2 linked regions of the Macaca fascicularis genome follow. The protein of the gene in region 2 interacts with the protein of the main gene of each other region in a biochemical or structural test. Links are inferred from orthologs where the notes say so. Each region holds a gene or a part of one and is shown on either strand. Other genes may lie near its edges. The genes, in order: MITF and PIAS3.

Region 1 (4,454 bases), on a different chromosome or scaffold from region 2:
GCAAGCAACAAGAGAGAAGGTCAGGGCTGACATCTTAAGAACCTGGAATTTTACTGGGAGAAACTAGGAGCCATTGGCAGGTTCTGAGCAGAGAATGACAGGATCTGACTTGATGTTTAACACAGGGTTGCTTGACCTCAGCACTATTAACAATTTGGGACCTGATAATCCTTTGTTGTGGGGGCTGTCCTGTGCACTGTAAGATGTTTAGCAGCATCCCTGGCCTCCACCTACTAGAGATGGATAATGATCCCTTCCATTGTAACAATCACAAATGTCTCCAGACACTGTCAAATGACCCCTGGGGGCAAAATCACCTCCAATTGAGAACCAGTTTTAACAGGAACATTGTGGCTACTGTACTGAAAATTCACTAAATGTGGACATTGCAGTTTAAAAGACTACTGCAATAATCCAGGCAAGGGCTGATGGTGGCTTGGACCAAAGTAGTAGCAAAGGAGTTGGTAGCGGGCAGATTCTGGACATATTTTCAACTCTAACTACTCTGGACAATCCAGAGAAGACAGTTGATAGGCAGAACGGCTACAGCAGTCTTAACATACCAATTTCAACTTTTTCCAACAAAGACTTATAAGAAGTGAGGTGCCCCAGCAAAGACATAAGACAAAAAGCAATGAGAGAGAAGGCCCTGAACAATGTGTAGCCCTTTTAAGTCACACAACAGATGTCGACGACAATACCTTAGACAACTGTGGAAAACAGTATAGAGAAATGTTGCCAACTCCATATATTTATTCACAGATTTTATTTAACTGGTTTATTTCAAAGAGCATGTGTGTGCTCCATATACAAGTTTTACAACAACTTTTTTAATTTAGCCTTCCTTTCCCTGCTGGTTCAGGCCCACACCTGTTTCTAGCATTAACGTGTGAAGCCATTTCTTCCCACATACCCACATTTTTCCTTACACGTCCCTGCTAGCTAGCTACTGAGGACGTTCACCCTTACAAGTCTTTTTTGCTGACTCTGAAAAAGAACAGGCCCAAATCGTCCAACATGAGTTTCACGGCACTCATTTGGGTTTTTCCAGATGGTATTTTCCTCGCTCTCTCAAACTGATTTAATGTTATGTATCAGCTACCATCAGAAATGTTCCAAACAGTCCGGTTAATTTATTTCTTTCAGGATTCCACACACACACTCATTCCCTCATTCTGGCCGTGTAAGCATTTGCTTATAGAAGCAAAAGCAGAGACTGCCCAGTAAAACACTGGTCCCTTCAGCCGAATGCAGATAAAGCCCTGATGAGCATAACCAACAATACCCTTCACACAATATTACTCAAAACCCCCAGCCCCCAACACACACAATCTATGCTCACACACAAAACAGCCATTATGAGGAAAAACCACCAACTAAAGGCTGGTTTTATACGTCGAACTGCTTAGGCGGTTTCCTTCCAATCTGCCATGAAGCATCTACAAAGAGGCTTCTCCAGCAATGGCAGTCAGTAGGTCCGCTGTTCCCAGATTTTCTTCCCCAACTGGGATAAAGAGTCCTGCCACAGCCCTGAAGGAAATAAACCTGGTTGCACTTTCCACTAGAAAAAGAATCAGCCCAGTGCTCGCCAGAGGCCAAGATTACACCACCTGGCTCCTCATTCAGTTGCCCTGCTCCACTCACCCTCATTTCAGGACCCTCTCCCACTCTGCCGGCCAGGCCCATTCACCCAGGCTCCACCCACAGCGAAGGGCAGGGCAGCAAGGTACAGCCGGGTGCAGAAGTCCTGCTGGATCCTTCCAATGATAGCCTTATCCCAGCTCACAGCTTAGAGGGGTGTAAATAAACCCTTCTCTGCTATTCCAGCCTCCACTGACCATGTCCCTTTTAGTAACCACCGTAAATGAGAAGTACGAGGTGTCCAGAGTGCCAGCCGGACAGACAGAACGGAAGACACCCAATTCATTTCGACAGACAAGTGGGAATGGAGGCAGCAAAAAGGGTGGCTCAAAGGAAGTGGGCACTAGAGGGGATGGGGTATCACAGCAGTGGATGTCTTCACTCCTCTCCTGAAAAGTTTTTGAAGTCCCCAGCGAATTAAACACGTGTCTCTGCCAAGCGGGGTACACTCCCAGTAACCCCCAAGACCAAGGCTCATTTCCCCTCTGCAGTGAAGGCCTGGATTTGAATGGGATTTCCAGGGAGTTTAACTTAGACTAGGGGACACGCCCACCGCTGCCCTGGCCCCTCCCGCGCCCGCTTGCAGCGGTCTGGAGGTGAGAGGCGAAGCCCAGAGAAACCTCACCTGCAGGATCCCAGGGACTAATTTCCCCACAGGGACCGGGCTCCCAAGAGGTGACTCCAAGCTAACTAATTGCTTCCCTCCAATGTCGCATCCTAACCCACCCAAAGCTTCCCTCTCCGAGCCCTCAACCCGCTGGGATCTTCAGAAAGGGGGTTCACTAGAACTTTCTCCCCCATCCCACCGGGACAGCGTCCCGGCCCGGCGCTCCTCCTCCCCCACATCGCGCCAGATCGTTCCCCAGCCCCCACTCAGTCTCAGCAGCTGGCATCCCCAGCCGAGGGTCCCCGCGCCTGGACGCTTCGTCTCCGACGACCCACAGCGCCCTCCGAAGTGCGCTCCATCCGAGCCTCCTAAAGGCGCACTTGGGCCGAGCGGGCGCGGCCCCCAACTGCGGGGGGCAGTTCGCCCTCTGCCCCGGGGCAAGGGCACTGGGTCCTTGTCCCAGAGCTCCCGCGATCCGCTCTCCTCGCCCCAGAGTGGCAGACGCAGTGGCCCCCAGCCGCCTGCTGCGCCTCTGTCCAGCTGTCACCACTCACCTGCTCTTCAGCGGTTGACTTTTGAGTTCGTAATAGGTTTTGGGCTCTTCATGAAACTCCTCCCCGACTTCGAAATCCGGCACGATCCCCGATTCCGACTGCATGGCTCCTGCTTCCCGTCCTTCCACTACTGGAAAGTGAGAATAGAGCCCGGGGGCGGACGGAAGGTAGCTGGGCCTGGGTCCCTCGAGCCGTGCGCCCCCGCGCAGCGCCGAGCTCTGCCCGCTCGCCGGCTCGCGGCCGCCCGCCCCAGCGCGGGGAGTTTACACTCCTACCCGGGCGGGAGGGGCCGGCGGCCGAGCGCCGCCTGGGATCTGTAGTTCGGCCCTGGTGGGGCATTCCCAGCTCGCCTGTGGAGCATCTACCACTAAAACTACAGCTCCCAGAAGGCTAAGCGGGGGGAGCGGCAACGTGGTGGACACCGCTAGTGCAACTCCTGTTTGGATTCATTGTCAATGTCAGCAGCTCCTCTCCCTCCTCTCTCCCCACTTGCTTCAAGGGTACAGAATTGGCTACTTAATATGAATAAGAACGGACACAGACTGCTCTTCTACCGTCACTCCCACCTCTCAGCTCAGACATCTGCGAGGGCACGCCGAGTGCTTATTTTAAAAATAAGATAGTCAAGGGTTTTGGCACGAGAAAGTTTTAGCATTCGAGCCTGTCTTAAAATAAAAGGACTTCCTATCAGCCCGCATGCTTCCCTGGGCTGCTGCGACACATCAACTTGTCCTCGGATTGGAACAACGAGGAAGAACTTTCCTTCGCTTTGTAATGAAAACGTTATTGGAGAAATTGTTCTTGTGCGTTCCTTTTCTAAAGTCTGGACTTTTACAATACTATTCATCAGTTGAATGGCTCTTTCCCCTTTATCCAAGTAGCCACTTCTAATCTAAAGCAGCAACTGAAAGATTCGGTTAATTTAAAAAGGCACAAAGTTACAGACAGCGTCGTTGCTCTCTGCTTTTAATTACTCAGTTGACTGGGAGTTCAAATGAGGTTTTTCCTAGCATTTCAGCACTGAAGATGTACAAGTGTCGACTCCTTCCCGAGCTTCCCGGAATTCACTTCGGGAAGAGAATTTTAAAACTCTCTGTTGTGGCTCATTTGTACTTCTAGTTCCTTTCCTCTGATTAGCTCCAGTAGGACGTGTTCCTTCTTTTTAAAAGTGTTTTGAGGCATCAGGGAGGCAGTATAGAGTTACAGTGGCATTTAAAGGTATAAGACTCAGAGTTGAAATCCCCAGCCCTTCTAAGAAGAGCTGTGCAATCCTGAGAATGTCACTTGGTTCCTAGAAGCCTCCATTTCTTCATCCATAAAAGAAGAGATTGGCAAACCAGTTTTAGAAGATGTTGCAAGGTCAAATGTAAGAGAAAGTGATTTGCAATCTATAAAAACCCTTCTCAGTGGTCATTCTTTAATAGGTCTTGAAGTTTTTCCTTTCAGATTAACATCTCATCTTGGTGTTTGGCCTTTTAGAATTAATAAACAAAATGACTGTCCTAGGAGAAAACTCTAAAGAGGCTACAGTGACAACTGGGCACCTTCCAGGAGTTACCCCTTTGCATGTCTTGCCTCCCACTGAAACATTTTAATTTCACATCAGAAAAGATCTCCAGTAAGATGGATCGATGTTAGGGCTGGAGTTCTCA
Region 2 (4,354 bases):
CGCCACTGCACCCCAGCCTGGGTGACAGAGTAAGACTCCGTCTCAAACATAAATAAATAAATAGGTATTTCCATGGAAACAGAAACAGATTTAATCTGGGGCCTGCATGTGAGTGATCAGCTTGGTTGGGATGGGGCCTCTGGAGGGTCCAAGGCTTTGGAGGAAGGAGAGTGAGTAGGTAGTTCAGAGAGGGACAGAAAGATTCCTTTTGTTGGCAAGAAAACCCCTCAATTCATCTTCAGCTACACCAAAGGTATAGGGGCTCTGGTGGAGGTACTGTGCAGGGGTATCTGGAGTAGTTACTGTTAGGTACACTTTGGATTCAGTAGCCCAGGCTTTGCCCTAGGGAGAGACAGTTGTCATTTCAAGGAAGACTGCTTTATACGGTCAGACACCTGGTTCACACGGCCTTAGCAGCAGCGTGCCACCACCCCAATCCCACACATAAGCGTGAGGGGTCACAGAGGTAGTGAGAATGATGGGATCCAAGGATCTCATCTCTCCAGATCCACTCACACCAGGAGTTAATCGCTCCAGCGCCAGGCTCTGAGTCCCTCCCTCTCTCGCCCGAGCTCCGCCCCCCTTCACTCTCGGCGGTCCTGGCGGGCTTCCCGTGGAGGGGGCGGCCCCAGCCCGAGCGCTAGGCCGGGCGGAGCTCCGGCCCGGGCGGAGCCGCGGCCGCCGCGTCCGGCCGCTGGACCGAACTTCTGCCGTGCGGACAGCAGGAGCGGCGCCGAGCCCCATGCCCCCACCTCTCCAGCCCGCCCTCTGAGCCTCCCGAACCCTCTCTCCATTTCCCACAACTGTGCTGGTAAGTCCCGCTCCCCGCACCAAACTTTTTTTGCTGCTGAGTTTGAGTCCTACGATCGGACCACGAGCTGCATTGTAGTTGGTGTTGGGGGGGAGGAGGAGAGGGTGAATTGAGTATAGCTGTCTTGAACTGAATGCCGACTCCACGGCTTCCCTAAGACGGATCAGCGCTCGCCCATTTCCCGAGTTGGAAGACCTCTCGATTTTAGTTGCTTAAACTTATGTAGAGATGGAGATGAGGGTTTGCGCTCCAACTTCGCTACCCCCTCCCCCATTTCTCTGAGCTCTAGCAGTTCCCGATACTTTCCCTCCATCTTTCAAGTATCTTTGGCTCTCTAAAAGCTTGTCCCCTCCCAACTCTGCCGTGGCAAAGCCCCCCTCCACCAGGCACTTCGGACCCGCCTCCTCTTCGTTGCCCTAGGGGACCCCGCGATCTTGGGGGCCATAAACTCCCTCCGGGGCTACGCGTCCTGCCAACCCGCCGCAGACGTGTAGCTGCTGGGTCCGCTGTGGAGGGAGGGGCTCAGGCTGGGGCTAGTCCGAAGCCAGGCGGGCGGGGCCGGGAAGGGGAGGTATAGGGGGCCGGACGGGGCGGAGCAGGCGGCATTTGCGGCCGGCGCCGGGGTGGAGAGTTGTGCGCCGGTCCCTGGGCCTGAGCTCCGGCTCCGGCTAGGGCGCCTGCGATGTCTCAAGATGGCGGAGCTGGGCGAATTAAAGGTACCGGCCCCCTCCCCCATCCCCATCTGGACTGATTCCGGCGGTACGCCGTGTCCGGGAAGCGACCGAGACTGGGTGCCGGGGCTCGGGTGGGCGCCGACGACGTGGCAGGCACGGGCTGCTGAGGATGGGAAAGAAGTGGCTGAGAGCGAGGAAGGGGCTGCGGCGGGGCTCCGGGGGCGGGGCTGCGGGGCAGATGTAGGGGTGGGGCCGAGGGGAATTGCAGCTGTTGGGGGCTGAGGCGCAGGGGGCGGGGACGAAGGGTAGAAGTCGGATTTAGTAGTAGGGGCAGTTGTTGGGGTAGGGCCAGGGGGAAAAGCTGCTCTAGAGGCACTGGGGGCGAGTCGATCGAGGCCAAGAGATGCGACAGTAGGGGGCAGATGCAGGGATGGGACCGCGGGGCAGATGTAGGGGAGGCTCCGGGGGAAAGGCAGCTGAAAGGGTAGGGTCTTTGGGGCTACTCTCGGGATCCGAGCTTTGGGAAATACCAGTAGGCGGCTGAGATGCAGGGGGCGGGGCTGTGCGGGCTGATACCTCGAGGGGTGGGGCAGAAGCATCCTGGAGGCTCAGAGGAAGGTCCTGCCTTAGTGAATCGCGATGTTTGGGCAGAGGCAGAGGCATGTGAAACTATGAGATAGAAAGGAGGGAAGTTATAGGGAAAGCTAATGGAAAAAATAAGACAGGACAGAGAAGATAAAGATGGGGAGAAAGAGGAGCAAGTTTCTCATCACATTCCACAAAAGGGGTCCAAGACAAAGCCTCCTGTGAGAAGAATTGTGTAGGGCTAGCAAGCCCTGCCCATGACAGGATCTCCTAGAGATTCACAGAAGGGAGTCCTCCCTCTAAGGAGAGCGCTCCCCTCCTTCTGCCACACAGAGTTTGGAGGGTGACCACGTCTGAGGACATCTCATAGAACCTTAAACCACCGAGTTCATCCCCATGCCTCCTGGTTTTCTTCTGCCCTTTGAAATGGAGCTATGGTCCTGGGCAGTCTGGAGGTCTAGCCACTGGGCCCAGCTACCTTCAGGAAATTTGCGATTCTGTGCCCTGACTCAGAGGCTTTTCCTTCATCCACCCAGGGCCTCTGTTTAGAGCTCTGCCCGCTCCTCTTCCACCCGTGTAGGGGGGCTGTAGGTTGTACAGGAGTATTATTTTCTCTATGTAGGAGAGACGCCAGATAATGGTTCCTGGCAGATAGAGTAAACAGGCAGGATACTTGGACTCAGTGAATCACTGTTAATCTCCTCAACCTAAGTTTTGGTCCTGTTTCCCTTCCAGAAAAATAGGACTAAGTTGTGGGGAGGGGGCGGTTATATTAATGATTCCAAGAAAGGATCTGGGGGAGTAATGAGCATTGAACCCTGACCTGAAAACCCCGGCCCACAGAAGCTTCAGAGGCTTGGGGGAAATAGCTGAGGAATTAAGGTGGTTTGGAGGGGTGGGCTGAAGGGCACAATCCTCCAGCCACCTGGCCCCTTTCTTCCCCGTGGGGCTGTCTGGCTTGAATCCTCTTGTCTCTCCCTCCTTCTCCCTGTCTCCTATCCTCTTCCCAGGAGGCTGGGATGAGTTTGAGTGTCTGAGAAAGGGCAAGAGAGGAGATAAGCAGCTTAAAGGAGAGTCCAGACTAGAGGCAGGGTTGGAGGCGGGAGGCTGTATAGACTTGGAGGTGTGTCTGAGGGTGGCTTGCTGTCTGCCATTCCCTGCCCCACTCTGGCCACTTCCAGGCCTGGGGAGACAGACAGTGTTGCTCAAGCTTGGGGTGGGCAGGGGGTGGTGATGATGCTGACCTGATGGTTGCTAAAGTGGGACTGAGATGTCCCTTTGGATAGGTTGACTACCTGGCAGTAATCCACTAGCTGCGAAGCATCATCTTTCCCATCAGTGCTGGAGGGAAAAAGGCACTGCCCACCTGGTAGCTCAGCCCATGTCTTGGCAGGGCAGGCCTGTGCAACGGAGGATTCTCAAGCTTCTCTGTTCTTCTCCACAGCACATGGTGATGAGTTTCCGGGTGTCTGAGCTCCAGGTGCTTCTTGGCTTTGCTGGCCGGAACAAGAGTGGGCGGAAGCACGAGCTCCTGGCCAAGGCCCTGCACCTCCTGAAGTCCAGCTGTGCCCCTAGCGTCCAGATGAAGATCAAAGAGCTTTACCGACGACGCTTTCCCCGGAAGACCCTGGGGCCCTCTGATCTCTCCCTTCTCTCTTTGCCTCCTGGCACCTCTCCTGTAGGCTCCCCTGGTCCTCTAGCTCCCATTCCCCCAACCCTCTTGGCCCCTGGCACCCTGCTGGGCCCCAAGCGTGAGGTGGACATGCACCCCTCTCTGGCCCAGCCTGTGCACCCTGATGTCACCATGAAACCATTGCCCTTCTATGAAGTCTACGGGGAGCTCATCCGGCCCACCACCCTTGGTATGGCTCTTTGTGGTCCCTTAGTCTTCTGGACTCCCTACCTGTTCCCCAGACATTTCTTAGGCTTTAGTCCTATGGGATCAGTGACCTGGGATGGGGGTGATTTCTGTGGCTGCCTGTGCATGGGCTTGGAATAACTGCCCCTTTGTATCCTCAGCATCCACTTCTAGCCAGCGGTTTGAGGAAGCGCACTTTACCTTTGCCCTCACACCCCAGCAAGTGCAGCAGATTCTTACATCCAGGTACATCTCTTCCAGTCTTCCTCCCTCATCCCTGGGGGGTTACCCCTGGACTCTGCTTTCTGACTTTCTTCTCTTCTGCCCTGCGCTTTTCCCTATCCATCCTCTTGTACCTACTTGTCTCTCGTTCTTTTGTGTGTCTCTGCTCTATCCTCCGGACATCTAACTTTCAGCCTCTCTGTG

What was found.
Region 1: the proteins of PIAS3 (region 2) and MITF form a complex in vitro, tested with the Homo sapiens proteins (2 studies listed by BioGRID). The link is inferred for Macaca fascicularis from reciprocal best matches to the Homo sapiens genes PIAS3 and MITF.

Annotation. Positions count from the first base shown.
Region 1 is NC_088376.1:132,817,906-132,822,359, reverse strand, and holds the start of MITF (microphthalmia-associated transcription factor), read right to left. Parts: upstream 3,045-4,454; 5' UTR 2,907-3,044; coding exon 2,803-2,906; intron 1-2,802. UniProt on the Homo sapiens protein: Transcription factor that acts as a master regulator of melanocyte survival and differentiation as well as melanosome biogenesis.
Region 2 is NC_088375.1:113,555,636-113,559,989, forward strand, and holds the start of PIAS3 (E3 SUMO-protein ligase PIAS3), read left to right. Parts: upstream 1-1,412; 5' UTR 1,413-1,503; coding exon 1,504-1,527; intron 1,528-3,514; coding exon 3,515-3,932; intron 3,933-4,089; coding exon 4,090-4,174; intron 4,175-4,354. UniProt on the Homo sapiens protein: Functions as an E3-type small ubiquitin-like modifier (SUMO) ligase, stabilizing the interaction between UBE2I and the substrate, and as a SUMO-tethering factor.